Arabidopsis thaliana: one gene and its partner. The protein of the gene in region 1 interacts with the protein of each later gene in a pairwise test. Each region holds a gene or a part of one and is shown on either strand. Other genes may lie near its edges.

Region 1 (8,570 bases):
GATATTACCTCCAAGATTTTCACAAATAGACGCATTGCCTCAATGGAGGGCATGGTTCCAAGCCCCTGCCAACTAGTAAACATGTACTTTTCTTAGGAAGCTTACACAGATGACTTTGCTCAGGGAAAGTCATCTTAGAGAATGCCATTATGAGGTCTGCGATCTCGATCTGTCTTTCCATAATGGCATTCTCTAAGATGACATTCCCTGACATGTTACCAGTAATTTTCTTGCATGCTAAAACCAAGGTAGCTCCTATTTCATGTATTCCCCTAGGATGGAAATACAAGTCTAAAATCTACGATACTTGTTGCTGTAGCCCTAATTCATGAGACATCTTGATACTTGTACTCAAAAAAGCTACTTACACATTTGATGATGATACTTAAAAGCCTCTCCAAATGTAGAATAGTATTGACAGACACAAAAGTGAAACCAACCTTTTCCATTTGCTTTGCTCTACTGGATTCCACGCACTCGGTTTTGGAATACTACAAGGTCCTAGAGTAGCCTGTTAACATGTCAAGGCAGAAGATTTCAAAATTAGTAAACATCTTTATCACAAAGATGATTGAATAAATTCTCTCTCAGTGACAAAATAAACCAGTTTTCGCATAGCAATGATCCCAAGTATAAGCACAGTTCCATTGTCTAATGTACGGAGCGAGATCGTACCAACATCTACTGTAGCAAATTGCGAAAGAAGAGAAATCAACAGATCCCTATGGAATTCAATTGAAATCGAATTGACGAACCTGCTGGTGCAACGTGTAGAGAAGCAAAGAGGTATCGTTGGAGAATTTGGAGCTGAGTTGTTTGACCGACGATTGAGATCCGTCGAGGCCGACGTACGATGCGGCGGCGTAGAATCTCTCCGGGTAAGAAAGGCCAGAGCTCGCTCTCACCATGTGAGCCATTTTGTTTCCGTTGATCGGAGATTTGAGGAGGAAGCCACAGTTTCAAGTTTTCGGATTAATACTAATTTGGTTTTAGTTAATTACGAAAACTTGATGCAGCGTTTATATAGCGCGGCACGACAAGTTGCTATTTGCATGCATCAACTTCCAAAATCCAGTTTCTAACGTTTTTGACTTTTTGGCACAAAAAGAATTTGTTATGTTTGACTGATAAATTATGTGGGTGATTAGTTACACAGTAGCCAGGTCCGTCTATGACCCATAAAAGCATAGGCATTTGCATAAGGTAAAATATTTTATGTATAATATTGGCAATAAGTGTATAAGCTCTAACTGTAGAATTTTGACGGTAACCTCTTGGTTTTGTAGATTTGAAAAATATAGGATTTTGGCAATAAATATTTTAGTTGTAACTAAAAATTATGATTAAGAAATATTTGAATTTTATATTTATAAATTACCTTTTTTCAAAATGAGAAAATTGTATATCATAATTACTAAAATTATTTAATAGCAATTATAAAATAAAAACACAAATTGAATTATGCACATCTAGGTAGATGGAATATATATAAATTATTTAATAACAATTTTATAATAAAAACACAAAAAGAATTCTGCACATCTAGGTAAATGGAATCTATATAAATTTATAAATTATTTGTCTAAATGTATAAAATACTTTATCTGTTATTCATATAACTACATTTTAGATTATTAGTTGAAAATAATCGTGACAAAAAGTTAGAGGAGAGAAAAAAAAAAAAAAATCTACAAAAAAAAAAAAATCTACAACACAAAATAGGATGTAGAAAATTAAAGATTTACAGTCAAAACAAAAAGATTTTTTTTGGGGCTCTAAGTTAAAGAAAAAAACTATAACATAATTGGCAACAATTTAGTCTTTAACAAATATATTATGGCTGTAAAAGACATTTAGCACAACCAATCAAGCATCTTTACAAGTTTCATTCACAATCCAAATTTTATTTTCGATGGTTTTTGGTTATTTAATACAAATTTTCATTGTTATTATTAGGATTTGATAGTTACCGCTACACTAGTCATATCCATTTGTTTCTGTGTAAGAACAGATGTGGTAGTAACTAGAAAGTATCAAAATGTCTGGAAAAACTTTTGATCATGTAAAAAGTTGATCATTATCGCAAACAAACCATTTTTGACGATTGTTATGTACACCAAAACTTAAAATAAATGGAAGTTTTGTTATAAATTCATTAACATCTTCAGAATAAACAAAACTTATGGCCAATATCATTGTTATACATAATCTGCTCAAATTTACTAGTAAGAACAACAACGGGGAAGAAACTATAAAAGACGAATTTCTCATTCAATAAGATTAAAACTAAACCAAAGTGCAAAGGAAGAATTGCTAATGGCAGTACGAGAAACTCAACCTATGGGTGGCGGTGCCCCGTTTGGTGTATCATTGGAGCTCCTATGGGACTTGTGTTTTGATCTCTTCTCCCGTTTCTTACTCCTGATGAAGATAAATAGAGAAGGGAGTCAATTGCAGAAGCAAAGCTTATGAAATATATATAGTGGTTAAAAGAATTAGTAGAAGAGAGGTTGTTAGTGTACTCGTCATGTGAAGAACTATGTCCTAGACAAGATTTTAGCTTCCGGTTGATATGCTTCATGTCCTTTTCACTTGGGCACTTGTAGTTCTTTACCTGAGATAAGAGAGAGCATCTAGTAAAACTTCCTTTTAGATATGCAAGTTTCATTGTTAAGATAATTATGGAAGTTAGTAAATACCAAATATTCGATGTTATCAAGTAACTTTGTAAGCTCTGAAGTCGTGTGCTCAGAGTTCGGTTGAGAAACAATGTTCTCTAGGTACCTGCACCAAATGCAGTTTAGTTGAAAATACAACCAGTAAAAAGCTTTGCATATACAGAAATTCAAGACCACGAGATTAATATCATGGAAAGATTAAAAGGGTAAATAATCGGGATGGATATAGAATAAGAGAAATAACCTATCAAAGTCAATCACTCCAAGAACCCCATTTGCAATACGTAACGACGCCAATGCCAACTACAAGGGCACACGTTCAAGAGTTGAGAGACAGTACAACAATTTGTGATACTTCTTTTGTTACATATACGCTAAAGAAAAACGAAAAATCCTGAAAGAAGGAACAAGGTGAGTATATATCGATAAGCTATACTACTATATCATAAACATTCATTAATTTCACTTAAATATCAGTCAAAGAGAAAACAAAGCACCAACTTTCATCCTAAATTTATGTCTTGAGTAGCATATTTAAAGCTTTACTGAAATATCCCAAACAATGAGTTTAACCAGATTCTTTGATGGATATTATTCAGTATCTTTAATCTGATAATAAGAGGCTAGGGAGACAAAATAAACTAGCATGCCCACCTGGCCAGGAGGAAAGAGGAGTGGAGCATCTGTGAGCATAACTTTATCGGCTTCTGCTGTCGCCCCTTTGAGCAAACTCTGCAGAATACTTGAAAAGTTATGCCAGTATGAGAAAATAATATTTCAATAAAGCCTGTTAAGTAAATAGACTTACAGCTATGATCACAAACTTACACTAAAATTTACATTTTGATCCCACATTCAGTTACCACATGCTTAAAATCTAGTGAAGATAAAGGAAATATCTGAAGATAGATCTACCTCTAGTTTTTGGATTTCATCATCTCTAGCTTGAAGAAATTCCTATAGGATGAAAAGATGAGGTTACTTTTGAAGATAGCGTGAAGTTCAACAAGGATGAAAAATAACACACCGAAAAAAGTATTGAAAATCTTGGTATATCCTATTATGGTTCACCAAGTTCTTGGCGTTAAGTTAACATTCAGAATTTTGTTTGCAACAAAACAATTGCCAATAAACTGAAAAAGAGTCTCATCACTATAAGATGTAAACAGAGAAAAGCCAGTTGAAATAAGAAAACCTACTAAGAAATTTAGACAGGACTGATTTACCTCCATGTTGTTGACAAAACCTTCGATTGCACGATACGGTGCATAAACAATCAGATCAAATTCCAAACTCTGCACATAGAGTTAATATAATATGAACAAAAGAATAGAGAGAGAAAAGAACACCAGGGAAAAATAAACATAGGGAAGTTGGTACAAATTAATTGACTCATATCATACCTGAAGAACAGCCATCTCGTACTTGAGAATTATTCGGTGATCTTGGTTAATCCCTTTCCCAATTTCCTCAGCAGATACATGATTCTCCTCTATTTTACAAGCTGCATACACACAGGTTAACCTGTTCAATGAAAGGTAACAATTAGTCCAAATTACAACAATGGACCATTTATGACTGACTTAAAAAGCCTCTCAGAGCTCAGAAATACAAAATGCTTAGCTCCATTTGGTAAACAATTTCAAAACTATTCTCTTGAAAAAAGCAAAGCTTTTGACCATTTTGAGGATTTAAAAGAACTATACATTATCTCTTTTGGATGATGTTGCATAACAGACCATTGCAGATAAAATCTCTTAAAGTATTGGAGGGCTGTTGCCTGCAAAATATTAGAAGGAAGAAACATAAATTCAGAGAGCAAACAAAAATCAGGTATTTTATTTTTAACTTCATCATAAACTTCTATCTCGACGAGTAGAAATGCACCTGAATCTTGTGAGGAAATGCAAAGGCACTGCACACTTCTTGGACCTTTGCCTCATAAAATGCTCTCATGAACCTTTCTTCATCAGCACTCAAAGGCTTAAGCTTCTTATCAGCTGAGAGTAACAAAGCAAAAAGTAACATTATTTAAACTTCGACAAACAAAACTATGATACGTATGAAGTAGATATTGAAGGAACCAAAATTTTTACCTTGATCTCCTGAACCAACTTTATCTTTAGGATATGTTAGTGATCCACTAGCATCTACTTCAACTTGAGTTGTTCCACACTATGAATAACAATAAGTTAAAATCTAAACATGAATACAGGACTAAAGCTCCATATCAACAATTATTCTAACAAACCTTCTCCAGCATTTGCACTGCCCTCTGGTTAGCAGCTTTATATCTCTCTGCCTACAATTACAACATTACAGCTTAGTTGCAATACCAATATCTCTACACAACAAGTAAGATAATAACAACAACAACACACATAACTAAGTAACAAAGAGTTCCAAATGCTCGATTAATCCGACTCTCTATGAAGCAATCAAAGCAAAGAAAATCCAAAGATGAACAAAATATAATTATAAAGCCGCATTGTAGTGATCAGAAGGAGAAGGGGATTACCAGTTTCTGGGGAGTGAAAATCCACTTGGCCCGTTGTGTTGATGTCTGAAAATCCGCCATTAACTGAGTTTTCAAAATTTTCGAAATCGAAAAATCTGAGCTTTCGAATTTCTTTGTGGAAAGTTCAGATTTTTGATCGAATTCACACGCTGTTGATGGCGATTATCCGTCTGAATCGGAAGGAGATTCTATAGATATTTCAATTTTGAATTTTAGGGCTTATATTAGAATTTAGGAGAAAAAATTATCTGGTGCTCGATTTGAATGGAGATTGGAATTGGATTGAGTTAGCTACGAGAAGAAGATGTTTTTGGTAATGAGAAGACGAGAATGAGGGAAGAGAGGAGAGCAGACGCAATATCTTGTCGGAATTCAGATGTGAAGACGAGTATGAAGGGAAAAAGAGGAGAGTACGGCAGAGCAATACAGTGTTAATGTCGGAAGTTGCTCATACGGCGAGATCGTTCCTGGCTTTGAGACTTGCGAGGAAGAAGAAACGTTGGTGAAACGACGTTCTTTCATGTTAAACAATAAACCCTAAGGTCAAACGATGTCGTTTAGCAAACATATTTATTATAAACGGTGTCGTTCGCTAACCCATTAAAACCCTTATTAACAGCCCTTTACTAACAAAAAAAAGAACAAGAATTTTCCAACCAAAAATAAGGTCATGGCTTAAATTTATGTTTCCAACCCTTAATAACACCCATACATGTGTCCAATTTATAGAATCTAAGTAAAAGTATAATATAGTGTTAATCAATCATTTTTTGAGTTTGACTCACGATTTTAGTTAGGTCTGGACATTCGGATTTTCGGGTCTGTTTAGATTGGGTTTTTGGGTTACTTTGGTAAAGAGATTGAAAATACATTTAGGAACTGAAAATATCGGTTGAGGTCTATTCGGGTTCGGGCTGGTTCTCAAATTTAATTGAAACCTGATATTGAACCTGAATTTACCGACAAATTATGTATACGTATTATTTCGAGTTACATGTATCCGTTTGAGTTTCGATATTTCAGGTATCTGTTCAGGTTTCAGATCCTACACGAACCAAACCAAAACCCCAAAATAAACACTTTAGATCCACTCGAACCAAAGCGAACTAGGTTTTTCGGGCTTCGGATTTTATGGTCATGCCTAGTTTTGTCCTTTGAAACATTAAAATTAGAAGTAAATCTACATATACATTTTTGCAGCCATTTTAGCAAATAAATTTTGTACTTGTATTTACAATGTCATGCCATTGACATTAAATATTTCCTGTCGATAATTAAATACAAGATATTATATTCAACAATAGTTGCCAAAGATCTTTCAAGATATATAATTGGTATTAATTATTCAGATTTGAAAATTTAAATACTTTATATTGCGCTCAACAAACGTTTCCAAAAATCTTTCCAACTTAAGTAAAAAATAATTATTATTTTTAAATATTATAGATATATTTTAACTTTATAAAACATTATTATTATTTAAACTTATAAAAAAATATCATGAGATGAGAAATATAGCGGGACGGGTTTGGATTGATATGAAATATAGTGGGACGAGTTTGGATTGATATAGCACATGTTAAATATTTATTTTATTATTTTATCATCACCATTTGTTTTAGTTATAACATTAATATAAAATTATAAAACTTAAATACTAAATTAAAAACCGTAAAATTTAATATTATTATATATGAATAAAACATTTGTCCGTGGTACACCACAGGTTAAATCCTAGTTGTTATTAAAGGTATTTCAAACATATCCATTTGGCATTGTTCTAGAATTTTAGTTAAGGAATAGTATATATTTGAGATTTTGTATTAAGGTGGGAATAAATTATTTCAGCCATTAGGATCCAAAATGACCCAAGAAAATAATCACTGAGAAAGAAAGAAAAAAAAAACAGCTCCAAAGTAAAAGGTAACCAAAGTTACAATGAATGATGACAAAAAAAAGTTACAGAATCAATGGTAACTAATTATCAACAGCCTTTGGAGCTGTTCAAATTATTAACTAACTATAAACTAAACTAACCTCTACAATCCAAACAATTAAATCTGATCTCCAAGTGTTATCTTCGATGTCAGGTTAATTACAAAGGACACAAATGTTTCATGACGTTCTTACAAGAGCCATTATTTGAGTCTTGATCAATCCCATACAAGTTTGAATTTCTCTGTATATCGGCATATTCTGTGGACACCGTGGCTGCAAGTCATTCACTACTGTATCCATTAGCTGAGCCACATCTGCTGGTGGGTACTGCTTCTTTGAGATCATCTGCAGGTAAATAACACACAAAGAGTTCTAATCAAAACCGCATCAAGTGAAAACTTTGGTATTCTTGATTTAGATTACACTTTCGTTAGTCCAAGACAAAATTATTTCCTTTACCTGCATCATGAGCCAAGATGCAACACAAGAGGTGATAAGCTCTGAAGGCATTGGTGTTTTGTTTTTTCCTGATCCTTCCTGTGAGATGAAACCGTTACTCATCGGCTCTGCTGTGTTTAAGGAATGATGATCCAAGCTGCCATTGGTATACTCTTGATGCTTGATACCAGGCACTATAGAGTTGTCTAATGGCTGATGTTCGCCAATGGAGCTTAAAGCTTGGTGAACCATATTCTCTGAGTCTTCATTGTTCTTCCCCGACGATGCAGCCTAAAACGGTTGACAACGATTTAAACAAAAGATGTTAGAGTTGTATGAATTTGGCTTCTCTGTATTTAGAAGACTCTGAAGTCTCTAGATATATTATAAATACCTTTATAGCTGCATCCACCATTGCTTGCGCTATTGACTTTGATTCAATGACAATTTCAATCATTTCTGGCTCCATTTCCTGGAAAGCAGAATCATGAGAAAAGAATTTCTGTAGCTGTTACTATTAGCAAAAAGAGTACACAAAATAAGTCTATACTTATTCGAACATGAGCAATCTAAAGACAAAGTTTCCACAGGCATAGACTTTTTAGTTACCTGCGCATCGGAAGTATGCTGCAGTGCCAGAGTCCGTTGAATTTCTGTTCCTGTTACTTTGCTATTGATTACGATAGATTGATCAGTAGTGTTGGTTGCTATTACTTTACCATACAAAACTGGCTCTCTGATATCATCCTGCAGAGAATTATGGAATTATCCACAGAGATTAAAAAATGTATGGAAAGAAAGACGAAGATCAAAGCTTTGACACACGAGTCAAACGTCAATCTTTGTTTACCTGTTTCGCAGGAGGAGGATTCATGGAAAAGTTGACATTTTCAAGCACAGAAGGAGAGAACAGAACAGATGCATCAGAGCTTGGGTGTCTGTTAAGCCTTGCTTCTTTGCATATAGCCAAGCACTTATCAATTTGCCTCCTTAGACCC
Region 2 (7,711 bases), on another chromosome or scaffold:
TATTTTGCTTACAGGGTTTGGTCCAGATCTGCAACAGACCTCTTCTGTCGTAAGAGGAAGATTGACAACTTTATTTTTTCCATGAAGGGTCATAAAAACGAGGCCCAATTTTGAAAACTTCGAAAGTACAATCAAAATAATGAAAATGTCTACATCCCAGTTTAGCAACGAAGGCAAGACCAGCCAAATAAGTTTCTACACATACAACACCAAGAGACCTCATGTTTGAAGACATACTATGTGTCTACAAGATTATCTTATTGTGCTGAAACCATAGACTGAAAGTCTGAAACATCGAAGGCTGGTTGATAGTTCTTATGAAAACTTTTGGACCGGATCGACATGGTGATCTAAGTTTTCGGAATTTTGTTTTTGGGATCAGTTTACCTGTGTTTTTCGGATATTTTTGAGTAAGTTTACTCTTTAAACTAGCACATAACTGTATCTCGATTTCTTTTGGGTTGGAGACTCAAAGTTCGAGACTCACAACTGTAGCACATGTAACTTGTTTATGGAAGTATAACAATATTAAATTTAAAACAAACAAAAATCATAATCTTTTTAGTAAACTAAAAATTGTCGAATTATATGTTTAAAACATCATTTTTTTAAGTGAAATTTGGTTTACATGATGACTCCCTTAAAAGAAATTGTTTAGCTAGGGTTCAGTTTCAATTATTCTGCCTAAAACCATTTCTTTATCAATCAAACTATAATAACAAAATTTGCTGTAGTTTACGTTCGATTTCAAATTATATGGCCAACTCCTACAGGTGATCCGAAAAGACATTCAATTTATTGATATGTGTTATTTTTATATCTTAATCTTAACTTTTATTAACTTTTAATGTTCTTCAAGTTTATAATCTTCATTGTGTAAAGACAGGAATCAAGTACTCGAGTTGACAAATGAATCGTATAAGTTAGTGAATATCTTTGGTCCTTTAAATCCGATCCGATCATCATTTTACATATATGACAGAAAACTATTTTCGCAATTAACTAAAGGACTGTGATTGTAGAACAGGATTTAGTTGTTAGATTAGATATGAGAATAATCATACAAAGATAGTCAGTGCATATGGCAGCAAAGATTGCAAAATTTAAAAGTCTCCAAAGAACCAAGGATCTTCTCATCTACCCGAGGCAGTTGCATAAACCCTAGTTTTTTACAAGAAAAACAAATAACACGCTAAACATTGCTTCGGAATCAAAATAATAACCATATAATTCTCAAATTATAGCGAATAATCCTTACCAAAAAGAAATTATAACGGAAAATTAAAGATGAATCCGAATAAATAATTGTTGAGTAGAAATAAAGAAAAATAAAAAATAGAGAAGGTGAAAGAAGATGTAGAGCTCCCTTCAATCCAAAGAAGAGTAAAAGCCATTAAAGGGCAAGTTAAAGCTCCTGAGATATGCAATCCATATAACCAAATCCTTTTTTACTTTACAAGGATTAGGGCTTATGGGATCCATAGCTTAGCAGCTTTTCTTTACCCTGCTCAACTCATGTTTGAACTTTAAGGAGCTCTACTTCCATCGTCAGATCAAGATCTATCGAAAAACAAAGTATCTTGTCAAATATATTATGGATCTGACATAAGCAAACTGTAAAGACCTTTAACTCTTCATAAAACAATGAGAAAGTTTTGATGAGAACGTGGATTAACAAAAACACCAAAAGAGGTAAATCTCTTACATTAGAGCTATGAAGGAGATATAAAGACAGAACAAAAGAGAGGAGGAACCCTAATTATTAACCCTAAACATACTTAGAGAGAAGGAAAGAGAGAGAGAGAAGAGGCCACGTCATGTTTTGGAAGAAATGATAGATAGAGAGTCGTAATTATAGTGGTTTAGATATTCGTGATAGAAGAATAAAAAGAAAAGAAAAAAAGGAACAGGTGGGTGCATCTGAAAAGACATGGGAAGGGTCTGACATTGTTTGTGTTAGATTCCCTACGCGTCACATGCGTCCTTCTCGGCTTTTGTGCTTCACTCTTTTTTTTTTTGGGTAAAGATAATAAAAATAACAATTATTATCGTTCCTGCCAACTACTAGTCCACTACATTTTTAAGATGTAACTTTGAAAATGAATTTGGCCGACCATTCTTTATTTCTTTTAGAAAATAATGTACAAGTGTTTCCGTTTGGTGACCTAATTCTAAATCATTTGTTAGCCCTAACAACTAGAAATTTCAACACGAAATAGTGAAATAGGTTGATGTACGGTCAGGATTATAAGTCTGATGATGTGGGCACGAAAGCAGGTAATTATTTCTCTGTCTGAGCAGAATCTATTGCTAGATTTATTACAACGAACTTGTCTTATTACCCTCACGAGTCTCGTCTCTTTCACAATTCAATGGCTTATTTTTAAGTGTGTTTTTTTATCCATCGTGTAAGTTTTTTTTTGAGTTGTTTAAATAAAAATTTGTATGATGAAAAATGTTCACTAGCAAAATACTTGACCCTGAAGTATCCTAAATTTTTCTGGTTCATACTCAAATGTTAGGCTTACTTTGTTTTCTTTGGTCACCTAAAAAAAAGTGGACTGATCAGCCTAATTATTTGTGCAAACTTTAATGATTGGGCTGCATCTCTTTCTTATGAGCCCATTATATGGGCCCAGAAGTTAACAGTTGCTTGTCTAACCTTCTCGGAATAGTTATTTGGGCCTTATATTTGGGCTTGATTCCACGCTTCATGAAACGGAAGTTAATCCGGTAGTGTTCTCCTGGTCCATGCTGCGGAAAATATGAGCAAGGTTAATTTGGCAACTTGTTGATGCAGCTTTTTATTTTCTTGGATTTTTTTTTTAATTTCTAAGTATGTTTAGGCAATGTTCCAATATTCATACAGCTAAAAAAATGTTAATATTCACAATCATCTTTTGTTTAACCACTAACTTATAACATTTTAAACCGAAGAATAATTGACGAGTCAATGTTGAGTAAACCGGAACAATTTTGCTTTTCATTTATAAACCTTTAAACGACGTCGTTACGATAGACGCTTCCAGCTTCGTTTTATTTCTAGCTTTAGAGCGTCTCTTTCCTTTTTCGTTTACTTTTCAATATTTTCCCCTAAAAATGTCGATTCCTTCTGTAATTGCTCTAACGGCTACTTTTTCTCCAGAGCATCATAAGATACCTCAACGTTAACGATAACAAATTAATTAAGATCAGTTTCGATCAATTGCTTGTGATCCGATTAGAGAGTTCCGGAGATGGAACAGCCGAAGAAAGTTGCTGATAGGTATCTAAAGCGAGAGGTTCTTGGTCAAGGTACTTATGGAGTCGTCTTCAAAGCTACTGATACAAAGGTGAAGATGATTCCTCTCTCAATTCTTCATATTTTTTGTCGATCCCATCGAAACTAGGGTTCCAATTCTGTCGTGTGTCTTTTGACGTGTCTCTTCCTGGGAACAATTTGGTTAAATCTGATAGCTCTTAGGTTTTAAATCAGCTAAAGTTTCGATCTTTACACTAATATGTGTTCTTAGAAGTCAAAGTTTGCATTTTTATGTTCTTAATGGATTTAAAGTGTGTAGTTTTTGTTTAAGTTTGTATAAGGAAGCTGATTTGTTTTGTTGTGGCAATTTGTAGAATGGAGAAACTGTAGCGATCAAGAAAATAAGACTTGGTAAAGAGAAAGAAGGTGTGAATGTAACAGCTCTTAGAGAAATCAAATTACTTAAAGAGCTTAAGCATCCACATATAATTGAGTTGATTGATGCGTTTCCTCACAAGGAGAATTTGCACATCGTGTTTGAGTTCATGGAGACTGATCTCGAAGCAGTTATCCGAGATCGTAATCTCTATCTTTCGCCTGGTGATGTCAAATCTTACCTCCAAATGATATTGAAAGGTCTTGAATATTGCCATGGCAAATGGGTTCTGCACAGGTACTATCATTGGAACTTAGAAGCAGAACTTGTTCTATCTCTAATAAGGTCTGTTTTGATTTAAACTTATGGATGATCATTCGTATTTGTTTCAGAGATATGAAGCCAAACAACTTGTTGATAGGACCCAATGGACAGCTGAAACTTGCAGATTTTGGGTTAGCACGTATATTTGGTAGCCCAGGTCGTAAGTTTACCCACCAGGTATGCTTTGTTTGTTGTGACAATGCTATTTATGTAGTAGTTCTGCTATCTTTCGTATCTTGATGTCCTTTAGCAATTTTCATAGGTGTTTGCTAGATGGTATAGAGCACCTGAACTTTTGTTTGGTGCAAAACAATATGATGGTGCAGTTGATGTTTGGGCTGCTGGCTGCATTTTTGCTGAACTTCTATTACGCAGACCATTTCTTCAGGTGAACCTCCATTTTGATTGTGTAGTAATCCAGTGCATCTGTCTACTTGTTTATCTAACTTACTTATTCCATTGCAGGGAAACAGTGATATTGATCAATTAAGCAAAATCTTTGCTGCCTTTGGGACTCCAAAAGCAGATCAGTGGCCTGACATGATCTGCCTTCCTGATTATGTAGAGTATCAATTTGTCCCTGCTCCTTCTTTACGTTCTTTACTCCCAACGGTTAGTGAGGATGCTTTAGATTTGTTGTCAAAGATGTTCACCTATGACCCCAAGTCTAGAATATCGATTCAGCAGGCTCTAAAACACAGGTACCTAAAAATCTCCCCTATGGATAATGCATAAGAACAGGTTATTTAGTTTTGTTCTCAAACCTTGATTTCTTTTTAAAGGTACTTCACATCTGCACCTTCACCTACTGACCCTTTAAAGCTCCCAAGACCAGTTTCCAAGCAAGATGCTAAGTCATCTGATAGTAAACTTGAAGCCATTAAAGTGCTGTCACCAGCACATAAGTTTAGAAGAGTGATGCCTGACCGAGGAAAGTCTGGTAATGGTTTCAAGGACCAGAGTGTTGATGTCATGAGACAAGCTAGCCATGATGGACAAGCACCAATGTCTTTAGATTTCACCATCTTAGCTGAGCGGCCACCAAACCGACCAACCATCACCAGGTAAAAACAATTGGTTTTATTACAGTCAGTTCTTGGTCAGCTTAAAAAATGAAAACTTTTGATGAATTCTTGATTTTTGGATTTGCAGTGCAGATAGATCTCATCTGAAGAGGAAACTTGATCTCGAGTTCCTATAGGATATCGCGTAACAGGCTTCTTCTTGACGTCGTTCTTCAGGTTCCTATAGCCTATAGGATCTCTCTTACTGGTTGGTTCCGTTCAGTAATTCCTGAAATTTTTCATATCACAACTAGTGATGACGAATAGTTTGAATCATTCTTTCTGTCTAAAATAAAGAATATAAAGCACAGATGATTAACTAATCATCATGTACACCCTTCATAGAAAAATCTCTGTTTTTGGCCTATGTTTAGAAGAGAGCTCTGATCCCAAACTCATTCTTCGTTCATTTCCAATTTAAAGTCCAGAATTTTTAGTATCGAACACGTTGGTGTATTACATATATGAATTTTTGATCTCATTACACTAATGCTCGATGAGAATGGAAACACATCCAAGGAATTTCAATAACTATGTAACAATGGTAAAGTTTTCTAAAGACCAATGTACGGCCACATCAATTAGAAATTCCCAATAAGTTCATATGGGCATACAAGAATAAAGCACTCATTAAGCTCATTTGCAACTGCTTTTTCCTCAGACGTTTATTGATCATTGGACGTCACCATCTTTGTCATCTGAAGATCCGACTCTGTTCGTAGCTTTCTTTGCCTAATCATGTAAAACAAGAAACAGAATCACATTATGGCAGAGTTATTATACATATAAAACTGAGCCGATCAGTTAAAAGGTTTTACCTCTTTATCCCAGTTTGTGAATATAGTGACTAAGGAAAGACACAACACTTGAACAGACAATGCTGTTACGATTCCCAGCCAAAGCCCCTACAATATGAAAATACCACAAAATAAAAGTTTCTATAAAACTAGTCTTGTGTTTGAACTTGAGAATGAGAAGGAGAGTTTAAGATTATTACCCGACCACCAATGTGGAAATGGAAACCAAGTAACAATCCTAATGGAACTCCAACAAGATAATATGATCCAAGATTCACACATGCTCCAATTTTCTGCCATCCACATCCTCTAGCAACCCCTGCAACCATAAATCAAAACTATTTGACCAGGATTCGAACCGGACATATATAAACAAGGAACCAAAGCCAATCTTCTATCATTCAAAACCTGAGAGTACGCATTGTAAGCCATCAAGGAAGTTTCCACATGCAACAATCGGTATCATTGATGCGGCATATGCGATGATTTTCGGGTCGCTGCTAAAAGCATGACCTAAGATCTTCCGAATCGACAACAAAACTGTTACAACCACAATTCCCTCGGCTACTGCTATGCCTACAATGACATATACAGCCAGTTTTGCCACTTGTGGATTCCCTGCTCCTAACTCGTTTGAGACCCTTATGCTGCAAGTTAACAGAAACACACAAAGTGAGATAGGTTGGTTTGATGAGATTTTTCTTTTTATGAGCTCTTGGATACATTTTGTTACTGACCTTGCAGCGCCACCAAGACCAACCGAAATCTGCCAGATTGTTAGGGAAGTATTTAGACTGAAAAGTTGCAGAAATGAGGTTGATCAAATATAAAGAAGAAGTACACAAACTCTGAGTACCATAAGACAAAGATAACCGAAATCTACCAGATTGAAAGCACCGAAGTTTCTAAAACCGGGTTAGGAAGAAGGCCTGAGGCAAGAACCAGAAGCTCGAAGGACCAAAGCTCCAAACTGTTTCAAACAGAATTTGATTAAAATGCAGATACTGGAACCTGAACAATGCAGCATTTTATGTTTGATGACTTACCAGACCATGACCGCTGAAGGAAAAGCAATTTTAGAGAAATCATAAAGTTCTTGAAAAGCCTCTTTCGAAAACCCGGTCCAACTATGCGAGCAAGAAGGCGAAAACTTGACATAACACGAGAGGAGAATGACGTTGAACCAGTAAGAGACCGAAATAGCAAGAGCAGCTCCTCTGTATCCTAAACCAGTCTTCAACACAAACAACCAACAGAGAAGCAAATGAAGACATGTAGTGATACCAGAGCAGACAAAGACAGGGAACACATTGTTCTGCGCTTGCAAGAACCTGTTGATACATTGAAGCAGTCCGTAGGCGAAGAGGCTCGGGATCATGTATTTAGCGTAGGAGCCAGCAACACTTGCAATGGACTTGTCTTGATGGACCAATACGAGAATCTGTTCTGTGTTAGCCCAAATGATTGAGAGAGGAACAGAGAGTATAAGAAGTACAAACATTGCTCTCTGCATTTGAATTCCCAATTTTCCATATAGTTTTGCTCCGTAAGCTTGGCCACATAGTGTCTCCAATGCACTTGCTGTTCCCAACTGTTTCACATACACACAAACTTTGAACAAAGTTACAAAACAGAGGATAACTAAGGTTATGTTATTGAATGCACTCTTTTTTTTTTTTTGACTGGATCGTGAGAGATGGGACGAAGAAACGTACGAGGAAGGTGAAGCCGGTAACGGAGGCAAAGGAGGTGGCGATAGAGGCGGCAGAGAGAGGAAGAGAGCCAAGATGGCCAACGAACATGACGGAGATGACTTGGAGAGAGTATTGAAGAAGGCTAACACCAATGAGTGGAGCAGAAAGCCATAGCTGCTTCTTCACCTCCTCCTTCACACGAATCATCGTCGTGT

What was found.
Region 2: the proteins of CYCH;1 (region 1) and CDKD1;1 interact in a two-hybrid assay, tested with the Arabidopsis thaliana proteins (2 studies listed by BioGRID, with this or other methods).

Annotation. Positions count from the first base shown.
Region 1 is NC_003076.8:9,768,448-9,777,017, reverse strand, and holds CYCH;1 (cyclin H;1), read right to left. Parts: upstream 5,716-8,570; 5' UTR 5,257-5,715; coding exon 5,197-5,256; intron 4,981-5,196; coding exon 4,930-4,980; intron 4,854-4,929; coding exon 4,775-4,853; intron 4,679-4,774; coding exon 4,566-4,678; intron 4,459-4,565; coding exon 4,385-4,458; intron 4,203-4,384; coding exon 4,082-4,202; intron 3,974-4,081; coding exon 3,905-3,973; intron 3,636-3,904; coding exon 3,594-3,635; intron 3,411-3,593; coding exon 3,333-3,410; intron 2,982-3,332; coding exon 2,923-2,981; intron 2,785-2,922; coding exon 2,700-2,784; coding exon of another isoform or gene 2,634-2,699; exon of another isoform or gene 2,615-2,633; coding exon 2,339-2,614; coding exon of another isoform or gene 2,334-2,338; 3' UTR 2,143-2,333; downstream 1-2,142. Other genes in the region: ACBP5 (acyl-CoA binding protein 5), read right to left, coding at 9-72, 441-511, 756-917; ALY1 (protein ALWAYS EARLY 1), read right to left, coding at 7,312-7,479, 7,594-7,863, 7,967-8,044, 8,182-8,319, 8,423-8,570. UniProt on the Arabidopsis thaliana protein: Associates with CDK-2 and CDK-3 and activates the CDK kinases.
Region 2 is NC_003070.9:27,711,877-27,719,587, forward strand, and holds CDKD1;1 (cyclin-dependent kinase D1;1), read left to right. Parts: upstream 1-3,033; 5' UTR 3,034-3,236; coding exon 3,237-3,332; intron 3,333-3,615; coding exon 3,616-3,914; intron 3,915-4,009; coding exon 4,010-4,118; intron 4,119-4,203; coding exon 4,204-4,329; intron 4,330-4,406; coding exon 4,407-4,642; intron 4,643-4,723; coding exon 4,724-5,005; intron 5,006-5,093; coding exon 5,094-5,142; 3' UTR 5,143-5,544; downstream 5,545-7,711. Other genes in the region: AT1G73700 (MATE efflux family protein), read right to left, coding at 5,678-5,737, 5,824-5,910, 6,003-6,121, 6,211-6,449, 6,540-6,596, 6,686-6,772, 6,849-7,393, 7,518-7,711.